Linked DNA regions of Stegostoma tigrinum. The protein of the gene in region 1 interacts with the protein of each later gene in a biochemical or structural test. Links are inferred from orthologs where the notes say so. Each region holds a gene or a part of one and is shown on either strand. Other genes may lie near its edges.

What was found.
Region 2: the proteins of rcc1 (region 1) and ran-binding protein 3 form a complex in vitro, tested with the Homo sapiens proteins (2 studies listed by BioGRID). The link is inferred for Stegostoma tigrinum from reciprocal best matches to the Homo sapiens genes RCC1 and RANBP3.

What each region holds. Positions count from the first base shown.
Region 1 is NC_081377.1:28,042,658-28,050,573, forward strand, and holds the start of rcc1 (regulator of chromosome condensation), read left to right. Parts: upstream 1-4,849; 5' UTR 4,850-4,969; coding exon 4,970-4,972; intron 4,973-4,998; exon of another isoform or gene 4,999-5,239; intron 5,240-5,297; exon of another isoform or gene 5,298-5,482; intron 5,483-5,496; exon of another isoform or gene 5,497-5,517; intron 5,518-6,797; exon of another isoform or gene 6,798-6,814; coding exon 6,815-6,908; intron 6,909-7,916. UniProt on the Homo sapiens protein: Guanine-nucleotide releasing factor that promotes the exchange of Ran-bound GDP by GTP, and thereby plays an important role in RAN-mediated functions in nuclear import and mitosis.
Region 2 is NC_081383.1:25,610,756-25,617,801, reverse strand, and holds the start of ran-binding protein 3, read right to left. Parts: upstream 3,026-7,046; 5' UTR 2,947-3,025; coding exon 2,925-2,946; intron 1-2,924. UniProt on the Homo sapiens protein: Acts as a cofactor for XPO1/CRM1-mediated nuclear export, perhaps as export complex scaffolding protein. Bound to XPO1/CRM1, stabilizes the XPO1/CRM1-cargo interaction. In the absence of Ran-bound GTP prevents binding of XPO1/CRM1 to the nuclear pore complex.

The DNA of each region.
Region 1 (7,916 bases):
TGTTTTTCCTGACATGACCAACTCCCTGACTGATTCTAATGTTGTTTCACCTGAATATACTAGCAGGAAGAAGTTCTGTATTTGCTGTGTTGATTTCTTTCAAAATCCCAAAAAACTTCTGGATAAGTTACTGCTCAATAGTTGCTATTCTGAGGATAGGATTCCTGTTTATAGAATCTTTCATAAAAATCTATTTCCTGATAGTTCAGAAATGCTTTCAAGCTGATGGTGCCCAGGTCACTTCAGTTAGAAATTAGCGGGTTGTTAATTCTCATCCTGAACTCAAGTTTACTGATTACTGAGGCGAGCATTGTTATCACTTTGGAGGTAATTTGACCTCCTTTTGACGACTGTTGTTTGAATTGGATGCTTGTGGAAGAGTTCCAAATTTAACACTGAACTTTTTCTATTGCAGGGGCAACATTTGTTGGAAGACAGCTGGGGATAGCAAGAACAGCTGAGTGATTTTGAATTGACAAGTTCATGGGGATCATTTGGGAAAAGTTGGATGTGAAGTAAGAGGTAAGCATTTATGTGAATATTCCTTGTACATTAGCTCTATTGCACAATAAAAATCTAAGTTGATTTTCCAGTTAACAATTACCGTTTTTATAAATAAAGTTCAGCAGTGGGCTTGTGTTTCTGTGATATATCCAACGTGGGTATCTGGCGAGGTTGCTCACATCTAGCTCTGTCCATGTGGCGCATGGGAGCGTAGGCCTCTGGGGTCAATGACGTACAGTCCAATTCCATAACGTTGGAGAGCATGTGTGTCCCCGGCTTTCGGGCTGGTGAGGACAGTATCCCGTATATTCCTAGACCACCTCAGTGTGTAAGGTGACTGAGGAGATAAACCATGCAGGGTACAGTTGATTGTGAATTGGAACATATTAGAGATGTTTGGTCTGGACTGTTGTGAAGATAAGATAATATTTTTCTGTAGTAAGTGATCGAGGTTTGTTGTAATTAGTTGATGAACTGTGCTTGTTCTGCAGTGAGGACTGTATTTTATCCATCCTGAATGAGGAAGATGGTGAAAACCAGGAATGCAGAAACTGAATGCACTGTGATGAAGGTGAATTTTTATCTTGCCTGATTTCAGAAATTGAAAACCCAACGTGGGCATCCAGCAAGGTTGCTCTTGTCTGGCTCTGTCCATGTGGCGTAGGGGAGTGTAGACATTCTGTCTGTGACACACAGTCCCATTCCACGACGTTGGAGAGAAAGCATGTCCCTGGCTTTCGGGCTGGTGAGGACAGCATCCTGTATATTCCTAGACCTTCTCAGTGTGTAAGATGACTGAGGAGATAAACCATGCAGGGTACAGTTGATTGTGAATTGGAAAATTAGAGATGTTTGGTCTGGACTGTTGTGAAGAGAAGATTATATTGTTCTATAATAAGTGTCAAGGTTTGTTGTAATTATTTGATGAACTTTGCTTGTTCTGCAGTGAAGACTGTATTTTATCCATCCTGAATGAAGCAGAGGCTGTAAACCAGGAACGCTGAAATTAAATGCATGGTGGTGAAGGTGATTTTTTTCTCTCTTTTTTTTCTTGCATGACTTCAGAAATTGAAAACCCAACGTGGGCATCCAGCAAGGTTGCTCTTGTTTGGCTCTGTCCATGTGGCATATGGGAGTGTAGACATTCTGTCTGTGACACACAGTCCCGTTCCGCGACGTTGGAGAGAAAGCATGTCCCTGGCTTTCAGCTGGTGAGGACAGCATCCTGTATATTCCTAGACCTTTGCAATCTGAACAGTGACTGTGGAGATAAACCATGCAGAACACAATAAGAATAGATCTAAATCCTTACATAGGCATCTTTGATTTGTGTTGTCAAGGCAGCAAATAAGTTTTCACATTATTCTTTGGCCCTGACTTTGGTGAGAAAAATAAAATGCAAAGTTTTCACATTGGCATCATTGTCGCATTTGTAAAACTTGGCAACTCCTATCTGGGTGAGGGATAAATAAGAGACATTGAAGATGTGATCATGCCAGAAACATGAGATGCCTGCAAAGAAGTGGAATATTGGTTTATCTTCTGGCTTGTGAGCTTTCATAATGTTGAAAGCATGGTTGTCACACAATAGTACTTCCTATCCTGTCATATAGGAATGTGTATTAGGTATAAAATGTCCTGGCAGCAGATTATAAAATAGCTTTACAAGTGGCAGTCATTTTGATTTGTAGATGCCATTTGGATCTTTGAAAAGATGTTTAGATAGGTATGTTTATTTGCATCTTGTCCACTTACTAATCTGCTGTTATATCTGCTTTATTTCAGATACTGCTTCACCAGCTGTGGTGTACTTCACACGAGTGCTGTTTGAGTTGTATATGCAACTATGTACAAAACCAAGTTATCACTAAACTTTTGTATGTTTTGCATATTTAAATAAAATTAAAATGCAAGAGATCAGTTTTTCTCCATTGCCATGGTCTGTCTTTGACTTTCCACCTGATTCACTCCATTAATTTGTTTCAACATTGACCACATTTCAAAACAATTATTTTGGCTGTAATGGATTTGAATGTCCTCCTGGTGAAACGTAATGCAAGCATGGATTGATTTTTACACCATTTTCCTTTGCTTTGAAAACAGATCATTCAGGTGCTTGAGGCTGTTCATTGTTGATCTGTCTGAAAACTCCCATTTATTTAGAGATAGTACAAACTGCCAATGCTGGAATCTGAAGAAGGGCCCAGACTCAAAGTAGCTTTCCTGCTCCTCTGATGCTGCCTGACCTGCTGTGTTCATCCAGCTCTACACCTTATTCACGTTTATTTACGTGCTTTTACTCCATTTTGTCCTCAAGTATGAGTTTGCTCTGTGGGACAGGCTTCCAAGCTTTGACCACTCTAGTAACAATCCCATTGTAAATCAAGGTTGTAGGTTCAGTTCCCAGTCAACAAAACTTTAGGTTGACACTTTAGTGCATTGTTGGGGATGTGCTGTACCATCAAAAGTGCAGTTGTGTCTTTCCCTATAAATCTCATATCACCATTCAAAAATGAGTGAATTTGTTTCTGGGCAATATGTAACCCTGTGCCAGTGTAACAATATTAACCAATGTAGTTAGTGGCAACAACTTTAACTTGTCCAAACATGGTACAGGAGCATTAGGAAACAATTTGAATAGCCATGCAAGATATATTGGGGTAGATGACTAAAACATAGACATACAGTTCAAACAGACCAGCCTGTCCTTACCGACCACAGACCCAAACTAAAACAGTCCCACCTTGCCTGTGCTTGGTTCATAGCCCTCCAAACATTTTTTACTTGTATCTATGTAAATGTCTTTTTAATGTTGTAACTCTCACCATTTCTCAAAGTTCATTTTACACACGAACCAGTCTCTGTAAAATAACTGCCCCAACTGTCTTTCAACTCCTTCTCCTCTCCCTTAGAAAATATGTCCTTTTACTCTTGAAATCACACATCCTAGGGAAAAGGCACCTGCCACTCACCTCTTCTATACCTTTTTATTATTTTATAAGCCTCAATGATGCCACCTCTCAACTTTCTGTGCTCTGGTGAAAAAATCCCAGCCTCGAAACTCAAACCCTCCTATTTCTAGCTAAATTCTGACAACTAATCTAATCCCCTTAAAATTATATAAGTAGATAGATTAATTGCTGTAGTATAAAAAAGACCAGGAAGTCTGTTCAATGTAAGATAAAGTGTGAAGCTGGATGAACACAGCAGACCAAGCAGCATCTTACGACCACAAAAGCTGACATTTCGGGCCTAGACCCTTCATCAGAAAAAAAAGTTCAATGGTCGTTGCTTCTCGGTTCTGATGGTGAGATGTTAATTTATCGGCTAGTTCCTTGTTAGATGTCTCTGAAAATTTACATTGATTTGTAAGTATCACAGACCAGTTGAAAGGCTGGGGGAAAGAAGACATTTACCAATTCAGAAGTCACAGGTCATCACAAGTACTGCAGGAAAGGGTCTAGGCCCAAAACGTCAGCTTTTGTGCTCCTAAGATGCTGCTTGGCCTGCTGTGTTCGTCCAGCTCCACACTTTGTTATCTTGGATTCTGCAGTTCCCATTACCCCTGGATCTGAAACTTGCTTGCAGTTCCAACCTGCTATGTTAATTGACGACCAATCAGTTTTGTAAACTCATCATCTCATACAGGAACTCATGACGACAAGATGGAGTTTACAACACGTATCGATTCTTTGCTATGACATTATGCAGCAAGCCTGGTAAACCCATTTTTCTAACCACCTTGTTTCAAGATGTTCCTATTTACCTCTGGTGCAGGTGGGACTTGAACCGGGCTTCCTGATCCAGAAGTCCTTACTACTGCGCCACAAGAGGGTTAAATCGCTGTTTTCGAAACAGTTCTTTCTTGCAGGCTATAGTTTCCTTTAGAGACAACGTTAAAAAAAGTCAGTAGGTGAGCGTTTAGAATGGGGACCAAAAGCAATCCCCTATATTGGGAAGTTTTAGCAACAGGAAATGAGTAGAGAGGTGGGTACAGCTGCATGTTATGGGTGGGATGGGGAAACGAATGCTATGTTTTTGGTTATTGTTGACCGTGCAGGTGGTGTGGTGGGAGAAAGAGGGTCAGGCAGGCTGCCTGTGGGGTTGGGGTAGAGGTAGGGAGATGGACAGACACAGGCAAGCTGCCTGTGGGGTGGGGTAGGGAGAGGATCGGCCAGGCAGGCTTGTAGCGCCGAATACCGGTTCTCTGTCTTTAGGGAGTGTCAGGGGCAGCCTCTCGGTACGGAACCCCCTGCCTTCGGGGGGTGGGATGGTGCTGAATCCCGCTTTACCGGTCTCTCCTCCCGCTTCCCCACCGCCCGACGGACCTCTCAATTCAAACGGAGCGCGCGGGCTCCTCTGTGCCGTGTGCGCAGGCGCTGCCTGAACCGGGAGAGAGCGCGAGCGTGTCCCGGGGAGAGGGAGAGCGAGAGCGAGAGCTTACGGGCCAGGTCTGTGAGAGGAAATGGTAAATATGTGCTTCCGTAATGGCGAAGTCATGGCGAAGGCGGCATACCCCGTGGGGACGGGGATCTTCTGGAATGTTCGGAGACTGCAGTCCTAGTCTCCACTCTCTCTCTCTTCCTCCCTCCCCATGTTGCTGCGAGTGCGGCCTCCAACCTGACTAACTCTGATCCCCGTCCTACCCTTTCCCTTTGTCAGCTCGACCAATGTTTTGTCTGGGCTAACTCGCTTTGTCAGTAAAGTTTTTTTTTCTTAAACGGGTTGGGGGAAGGTGAGTAGTTTGATTCCGGACGCGGGAGTTTTAAAAGCGGCGGTTCTGGTCGGGCTGGGAGCCTCCTTCCACTACCCTCCCCGGATATCGGGCTGGGAGCCTCCTTCCACCACCCTCCCCGGATATCGGGCTGGGAGCCTCCTTCCACCACCCTCCTCGGATATCGGGCTGGGAGCTCCTCGCTGGGGCCTGGTGCTGACAAACCATCCAGAGTCACCATCTCCGCACCGTCACCTTACTGAGGTCTTCGCGCTGTTTGTTGTGATTCCTCTCGCCCTGTGTGTATTAACTCAGCCTCGGCATCTCCTCTGGAGGGTGGTATTTAGTTAAAGTGTGTTGGCCCTGTGGTCGGTTTGTTGGATGATGGGGAGAGATTTCAGACCTTTGAACGTACTTGGGGGCCCCGCACGAAGTTTGTGTGAGCGGGTAATTTTCCAACGTTTACACAATGACGGAACTTAGGATCATTTTCTTAAATATGTAAACGTTTAATACAGTGCCCTTGGAACCGGAGAGGCGTGGAGGTTTTGTTTTATCCTTGATACAGCGAGTTACGATGATCTGAAATAGTCTATTATTCCTTGGGATTGTTAGACATTAAAGAAAAAGAAACTTTTTCAACAGTTCTAGGTATTCTGGTGCATGGGCCAAAGAATGGCAGATGGAGTTTAATTTGGAGAAATGTGTTGGTGTATTTTGGTAAGGCAAACCAGGACAGGATTTGTGCAGCTAATTGGTGGGGCTCTGGGGAATGTTGCTGGACAAAGACCTAGGAGTGCAGGTGCACATTTCCTTGAAAATTGAGTTGTAGGTAGTTGGGGTGGTGAAGAAATCGTTTGGCACGCTTACCTTTATTGATCAGTGCGTTGAGTGCTCACGCTGCAGCTGTATGGGACATTGGTGAGGCCACTTTTGGAATAGTGTGTTCAATTATAGCCTCCTTGCTATAGAAAAGACGTTGTTAAACTTGAAAAGGCTCAGAAGAGATTCACTTGGAGTTTTCTGGGATTGGACAGTTTGAATTATAGAGAGAGACTGAATAGGTTGGGGCCATTTCCCCTAGACCATCAAAGACTGGGGGTTAAATTTATGGGACCTTTATAGCCTTGCATAAAATTATGAGGGGCGCATGGGGTAAATAGCCAAGGTCTTTTCCCAAGGATAGGGGGAGTCTGAAATTAAAGGGCATAGTTCATGGTGAAAAATGGACTGAGGAGCATCTTTTTCATGCAGAGATTGGAGAGTGTATGGAACAAGCAGCCAGAGGAATTGGGTACTATTACAACATTCAAAAGGCATTAAATGGGTACAGGAATAGGAAAGGTTTAGAGGGATATGGGCAAAATGCTGGCAAATGTGTCTAGATCAGTTTAGGATACGTGGTCGGCATAGATGAGTTGGACTGAAGGGTCTGTTTCCATAACCCTTATGACTTTCATCACAAATTCAGACTCCCCCTATCCTTGGGAAAAGACCATGGCTATTTACCCCATGCCCCTCATAATTTTATGCTAAATCTCAGATGCTTTCAGTCACTGCATATGTATTTCACTAACAGGGCTTGTTGCTTGACAGGAATATCAGAATACAATGCCAGGAAAAAGATCAGTGAAAAGGTCAAAAGATAATGAGGAAGGAGCGGAAAGTGACGAAAGTAAAAAGTTAAAGAGTGAGTATGTTCAGGTGCTTTGTGAATTCCAGCTAATTTGCACTGTGCCTGGATTTAAATGTGCTCTTGTTCATTTTTTCCTGTGTTAGTTTAAAACTTTTTGCTTCAAGTAAATAAGTGATTTCTCATTTTATTTTACTGAGGTAGATTGATTTATTTGTATGATGTGAATTAAGAGCTGAAGTATGCCATTTGGCCCTTGAGCCTGCTCTGCCATTCCCTAATATCATGGTTGATCTATTTGCTTTCAAATTCCACATTTTTGTATCTACCCTCAATGACTTTAGATTTTTTTCAGTCAAGGAATCAGTCTCGCTCTGCCTTAAAAATATGTAGTGACACATTCTCAAAAGGAAAAAAAAACTCATTATGAATCAAGCCGGTTGTTAGTTTGGATTCAAGTTTTGTAAGCATTTAGTTGTCCAGAATAAAATGTAAATTTTGGCACGGACTGATTCACTTGATGGGTAATCTGTGGTTCACCGGAAATCCATTCTTGCTTTTGAGTCAAAAGATTGTGGCTACAAATCCCACACTAAGCACTGGATTCTCTGGTGCAGTACATTTTACCAATGATATTTTAAATTGAGGTTCCCATCTCGTCTCAAAGGGACAATTCTAATGGGATTATTTCACAGAATAGCTGGGGAGTTTTCGCTTGTTCTACTTACTAATATTTTAATCTTTCGGTCAACATCGCAAAAATATTTTGATTGTGTACACATTTGCAACATGTGGAAGCTTGCTAAGGACAAAATGGCTGCTACTGCTACATTACAACCATAACAAAGCTACTTCATTAGCTGTGAAGTGATTTTGAAAGTCTCGAGGTTTTGAAATGTATTATCTCTATGCAAGTCTTTAAGATGCTGGGCCATGTGGCACACAGCGAATCTAATGGTTCCCCTGGCTTTTGCCTAATGGTGGGGCAGGAGGTATAGAACAGCTATGTGCTGTGATGTGTTGGGAGTTTTAGATGAGGAGAAGTGAAAATTAATATTGCATTCC
Region 2 (7,046 bases), on another chromosome or scaffold:
GAAGATGGTGTTCCCTTATGCCCATTGATCTTGTGGCAGAAGTCATGAATATCGAAGGTGCTGTTGTTGGAGGCTTGGCAGATTTCTGCAAAGCATTTTGTTTTTGATACAGTCTTGCTACCACTGGATGTGGAAGGAATTGGTGTTTAATATCGTGGATGAGGTGCCACTCAAGTGGGCTGCTTTGTTCTGGTGTCGTGCTTCTTGAATGTTGGAAGAAATCCTTCCCCCAGTGTAATGAGCCTGTGTATTTACTCCGCCACTGAAGTGGCTGAGGCTAAAACATGTGAGTGCTTCCAAGAAGAACTTAGATATACTTGTTAGGACTAAAGGGATCAACTGGCATGGGGAAAAAGCAGGAGAAGGTACTGCGTTGGCTGATCTACCACGAACATTTTGAATGGCAAAGCAGATTTGTAGAGCCGAATGGCCTACTCCAACTTTCTATGCTTATATTTCCAAGTGGAGTGGATTTCATCACACTCCTGATATATGCATTGTAATGCCATTGAATATCAAACAGCAAAGAAGGATCGATCACTGGTCTTGAAATTTTAACTCTGCTTTCTTTCCACAGATGCTGCTATGCCTGCTGAGTTCCTCCAACAATTTCTGCTTTTGTTCTGAATTTTCACAATCCACAGTTCTTTGTATTAATCAAGGAGTGAGAGTTAGATTTGCCCTTCGGAAATTGGTCATTGCACAATACTTGTGCAGCAGAAATGTTAATTGTTACTATCAGTCCATGCCTGAATGATATCGAGAACTTGCTGCATAAAGACATTGACTATTACAGTGGTTGTGGTATTGTGAGTGGTACTGACAACTGCACAATCACAATGACCATTCCTACTCAGCATGGGAGAAAAGCTGTTGATGAAACAGCCACCAATAGTTGGGGTTGGAGGCCATCTGAAGAGTTACAGCAGCATTGTCCTCAGGCTGAGCTGAAGGCCTTGATCAACTGCCATTATCTATCTTGGTACTAGATATGATTCTAACCAGTTATCCCACTCATTATATTTGTCAGCAATAATAAGAACTGTCATTGCTGGAGTCAGAGAAAACACACCGTGGAGCTGGAGGAACACAGCAGGCCACGCAGCATCAGAGGAGCAGGAAAGCTAGCGTTTCGGGTCAGGACCAGTTCTTTTTGATTTGGTTGTCTACTCAATTATGAAACTGTCCTTTTATCATAAACTTCTTCCTGTTTCATTTTAATCTGCTTATCTTTAGTCATCCAGGGACTTGAAATCCTTCCCTTCCCTTTCGTGAGAATAGTTTTCACCTCTACCAGAACTATCTGCTCTCAAATGACCTACAAATCCTCATTTATGATGCTATCAGGGATAAAATGAGTAAATGAAGAGTTTGCAAAACTTGGTTTGATTTTGTTTAGAAGCTTGATCCAAATAAGGTCCTTAAAATCAGAGAGATTTGATAGGGTAGGTACAAAGAAACCATTTCCTGAGATAAGAGAATCCAGAATATGGATGCACAACCTCAAAATAGGTTAGCAATTTGGGAGAGGGATTAGCTAGCATATTTCCCCACACAAGCAGTGTGTTGAGAAAATTCTAGATTCTGAGTCAACTGAAATCTTCTGATGAGAAATCACCAGGATATGGAGGAAAGGTTGGAAAACGGAGCTAAACCACAGCTAATCTGTAATTGAACACAGTGAGGCTAAATAGCCTATGATTTCTCTATTGATTTCTCTTATTCATCTCTGCATTTCTCATCTGTCCCTTACTCCTTCACGTTCTTCTCTAGCACCAAGGTTCTTCACTCACCTCCATCACTTTGGACTGGGGTGAAGGGCTTATTTTATGATAAAGGTTGAACAGGTTAGACCTACATCCAGAATTGAGCATACAAGATCTCAAGGGCAGTGAACAATAGATGCCAGGAGGATATATCCTCTTGCAGATACTGAAACCGACAGATACAGTTTAAGACGAGTTCTCTTTTGTAAGACAGAGCTGACAATTATTTTTCCTGAATCTATTGTACGTGGAACACACTTCCCTAAAAGGTAGTGGATGCTGGGACTTTAAATTTATTCAAGATTGAACTTGAGAGATTTTTGGTCAAAAAGGAAGTGAAGTGGAGACCTCAACCCACATTAGCCATGACCTTACTGAACGATGGACAGGCTCAACAAGTTAGTGGCATACTCCAAATTACATTCTCTGCACTTTGTACCCTCCTACTCCCCCTCTATCCAACTTGTCTCTTCCCATCTGCTTTCATCACAATTTCCTTCTGCCATTTCCCTCATTTCACTCGTTCACACCACCGTCCGGTCTGATCACAACTCGCTGAATCTAATCTTGCCGCATTACTAATTTCCCCTTGTGTCTCCTCCCCGATCACTCCCTTACCAACCACCTTCTTTTCTTGCTGCTACCCACACTGATTCTTCCCTTAACCCTGTTATTATACCCCACCCACTGCCCTGGTGGCTTTCTCCCTCTTACTGTTTTCTTTCCGAATCACTTTCGGAGCTTTCTATCTCACCGTTCATTTCCTAATTCTCCTTCTCGAACGCTCCCCCTTCCCGTTTTCTGGCAGGTTTATGTTTCAATCACTTTCTGTTTCTCACCGTTTACCTCTAACAGACACATACTTTCTTTTCGAGCCTTACCCCTTCCTCTTGTAACTATCCAAACGATTAACACTATTTGATTTTGTTACTGATTTGTTTGACGCTTTGGCCTGGTTAGCCGGTGTTTTGTTGTGGGTGTGTGCAACTCGTTCCTCCCCTTAGTCTACCCATTCAGCGGACACCGACACTGCACTGAGGCTGAGGCAGAAACCTGAGGCAGAAACCTGAGGCAGCTGCGTGCACATCTTGGACTAAAGAAGCTACACCCCCAACACCTCGCTTGAGCCGCGCTCCATGCTCATTTTCACCTGCTTACCTTCGTTGGCTAGATCCGCCATTTTAGGATTCTCCGCGTCCCCACAATTCACCGCGAACGGAAAGTAGCAATGCGCATGCGGCTTATCCTCAGAGGCGCCACTTTTTGGGGGTGGGGAGGGGTGCAGAATCGCGCGTGCGCACTTGTTGCTGAGTGCCCGGCGGTGCTTGCAGGGAAACTACCGATGACAGAAGTCTCCAAGAGAGCGCACGCGCACATGTTGCTCAGGGCGGGGCTAACCGTCAATGACCAACGGTCCGTGTAGTGCGCTTGCGCTGCCTGCTTGCAGCTGGTGACCTGTCCGTTGTCGGGGAGGGACGGTGAGGGGTGGAGAGATCGGAGATTATTTTCAGGAAGCGGTTTCATAGTCAGTCAGTCACCCAACAGGCAGCGGCGGCTTCGTGAGTGATCGACAGAGCAGGGACGGGAATAAATCGCCTGTTAAATGACTCGTTCGCGGCAGCAGAGCGCATGCGCCTCCGCATGGTGAGCCGAGTTTAATCTCTAACTCGTTCTGTTTGAGGAAGTTTATATCAAACAGGCCACTGGGATTAGAGTGCGTCAAAACAAAAACAATGCATCCCGGATGATGGGAATTTGAAGTCAAAACGGAAATGCTGGTTATAGTGCATCTGTGGGACCGACCATAGATGATCAAGGTCATGGAGTTGGAACATTCTTCGCCCCAGTGATAGTGCCAAACCTGCTGCGTATTTGCAGCATTGTCTGTTGTTTTTAGAGTGAGAGGTGGACATCTTTTGAGGGTTCAACATGGCTGGCCTCGCTGCTACAATGTGGGAATGTGATCTGTAGCTGAAATTGATATAATTCATCATTAGAAACATAAAATGGTTGCAACACAGTGGGCGTTGCGATTCATCCTGTCTCTGCAAGACCAACGTGCCTAGTTCTACTCTCCTGTTTTGTTTTAGTAATTTTTGTTTCTCTTCTGTAGTGCTATGAGCACAATGTGGAGGCAACTGCATGTAAAATCAGAGGCATCTCTCTCAAGCAAATGTTGTCTATGCTAAATACCAAGAAGATCAGTAGTGTCTAGAGCAATCTCAGTTCAAAAAGTCGACTAATTTTTAAAAATCAGCATGGATACAACCTATTTGGATATTAGCAAGGCTTTTCACAAAATCGTAGCAACCTGGTCAAAAATGTATAAGCCAAAAGAGAGTGCCACCTTGGATCCATAATTGGCTTAGTGGCATGAAGCAAAAGTTAGTTGTTGACAGGTTATTTTGCTGCTGGAAGTCATGTTTCCATGGGAGATCTGCAGGACTCCGTACTTGACCCTTGGGTTTTTTAGTTTATATTTTTGATGTAGGCTGTAATCCAAGATGCATGATAAAAATATTTTAACTGAAATGAATCTTGGCAACAGTGTGAGTTTTGACAGTGAAAAGAAAGGTTTAGACTGCAGAAAGATGTAGATGAGCAGGTTGGTTGGGCAGAAAATGAAAAAGAAAATTCCAACAAGAGAAGTAGTACAATAGACAAGAGGATATATGTTAACCAGGATGATACTGACTCTTATAGAGGAACAGAGGTCCTTTGGAATTTTAGAATGCACCTATCCTTGAAAACAGAACAGGCTAGAAACATAGAAAATAAGTGCATCGAGTTTGTTCCACCTTTCAACATCATCATGGCTGATCTGTTATTTCAATACTACGGCTTCATCTTGAGGAGAATTTCACATGTTCACTACCTACTGAGTGGAGAAATTTCTCTTCATTTCAGTCTGAAATATGTAACCTTGTACCCTGAAACTGTAACCCCTTGTTCTGGGATCGCTGGCCAGGGAAATCACCATCCCTCCAGGCAGTCTGTCAATCCCTATCAGAATTTTAAGTTTCAATGAGACCACCTCTCATTCTGCTAAACTCCAGTAAAAACACATCCAGTCAATATAATCTGTCCTTTTTGAATAAACTTGCCATCCCACGATTCAGTCTTGTGACCTTGCATAACATTTCCTCTATCGGCAACAATATACTTTTTTACATATAGTATCCAGTTGTGATCTCAAAAGGCCTTGGACAGCTGCAGTAAAATGATTTCAATCCCATACCCAAACCCTCTTGCAATGAAGGCCAACATACCATTTGACTTCCTAATGTCTTGCTGGACCTACACGTTTGTCTTCAATGACTGATGCATAAGCACCTGTCACTTTGTAAATGAAGCAAAGTGGAGTTGAGGATTATCACATCAGTCTTGATCTCATTATATGGCAGAGAAGACATGATGGGCTGAAGATCTATGTCTGCTCCTGTGTCGTGTCATACATTAACATTTCCCAGTCTACCACCATTTAAATAATGCTTTGCCACACTGCTTTTCGTATCAAAGTGGACAACTTCACATTTATCTATGTTGTCCTGTGTCTGCTGTCTATTTACTCACTCACTCAACTTGTCTAAATAAGCTGAACCACCTTGATATCCTCATCACAACTCACACATCCCCCTAGTTTTTACAGTAGCAAACATTGAAATATTGCAGAGATAATGGGAACTGCAGATGCTGGAGAATCCAAGATAACAAAGTGTGGGGCTGGATGAACACAGCAGGCCAAGCAGCATCTCAGGAGCACAAAAGCTGATGTTTTGGGCCTAGACCCTTCATCAGAGAGGGGAATGGGGAGAGGGGGAGGCAGACTGAAGATGGATAGAGGAGAAGATAGGTGGAGAGGAGAGTATAGGTGGTGAGGGGATAGGTCAGTCCGGGAGGACGGACAGGTCAAGGAGGTGGGATGAGGTTAGTAGGTGGGAAATGGAGGTGCGGCTTGAGGTGGGAGGAAGGGATAAGTGAAAGGAAGAACAGGTTAGGGAGGCAGGGACGAGCTGGGCTGGTTTTGGGATGCAGTGGGGGGGAGAGGACGAGCTGGGCTGGTTTTGGGATGCAGTGGGGGAAGGGGAGATTTTGAAGCTGGTAAAGTCCACATTGATACCATTGGGCTGCAGGGTTCCCAAGCGGAATATGAGTTGCTGTTCCTGCAACCTTCGGGTGGCATCATTGTGGCACTGCAGGAGGCCCATGATGGACATGTCGTCTAAGGAATGGGAGGAGGAGTTAAAATGGTTCGCGACTGGGAGGTGCGTTTGTTTATTGCGAACCGAGTGGAGGTGTTCTGCAACGCGGTCCCCAAGCCTCCGCTTGGTTTCCCCAATGTAGAGGAAGCCACAACGGGTACAGTGGATACAGTATACCACATTGGCAGATGTGCAGTTGAACATCTGCTTAATATGGAAAGTCATCTTGGGGCCTGGGAGGGGGGTGAGGGAGGAGGTGTGGGGGCAAGTATAGCACTTCCTGCGGTTGCAGGGGAAGGTGCGGGATGTGGTGGGGTTGGAGGGGAGTGTGGAGCGGACAAGGGAGTCACGGAGAGAATGGTCTCTCCGGAACTCAGACAAGGGTGGGAATGGAAAAATGTCTTGGGTGGTGGGGTTGGTTGTAGATGGCGGACGTGTCGGAGGATGATGCGTTGTATCCGGAGGTTGGTGGGGTGGTGTGTGAGAACGAGGGGGATTCTCTTAGGGCGGTTATTGTGGGGGTGGGGTGTGAGGGATGTGTTGCGGGAAATGCAATATCGCAGTTGATTCCCCCATTGAATTAGTTGACATATGTCACAAATAGCTGGGATTCAGAAAGTAGTTAGGAGACCAAATGCCATGCTTTCCGTTGTTAATGCAGGCGTAGAATTTAAGACTACGGTGTTCATAAGAGTCATCGAGTAATACAGCACGGAAACAGGACCTTCAACCCAATCTGGTCCATGCTGACCATGGTGCCCACTTGGCTAGTTCAAATCACCTACATTTGGTCCATATCCCTCTAAACTCTTCTCTTCCATGTTCCTATTCCAAATGTGTTTTTTTACATGTTGCTATTGTACCAGCATCAACTATTTTCTCCTGCAACCCAATCCATATATACACAACTCTCTGTGTGAAAAAGTTGCCCCTCAGGTCCTTCTTAAATCTATCATCTCTCATCTTAAATCTATGCCCTCTAGTTTTCAGTTCCCATCCCTAGGAAAAAGACTATATGCATTCATTCTATCCATGCCCCTGATGATTTTATATAGCTCAAAAAGGTCACTCCTCATTC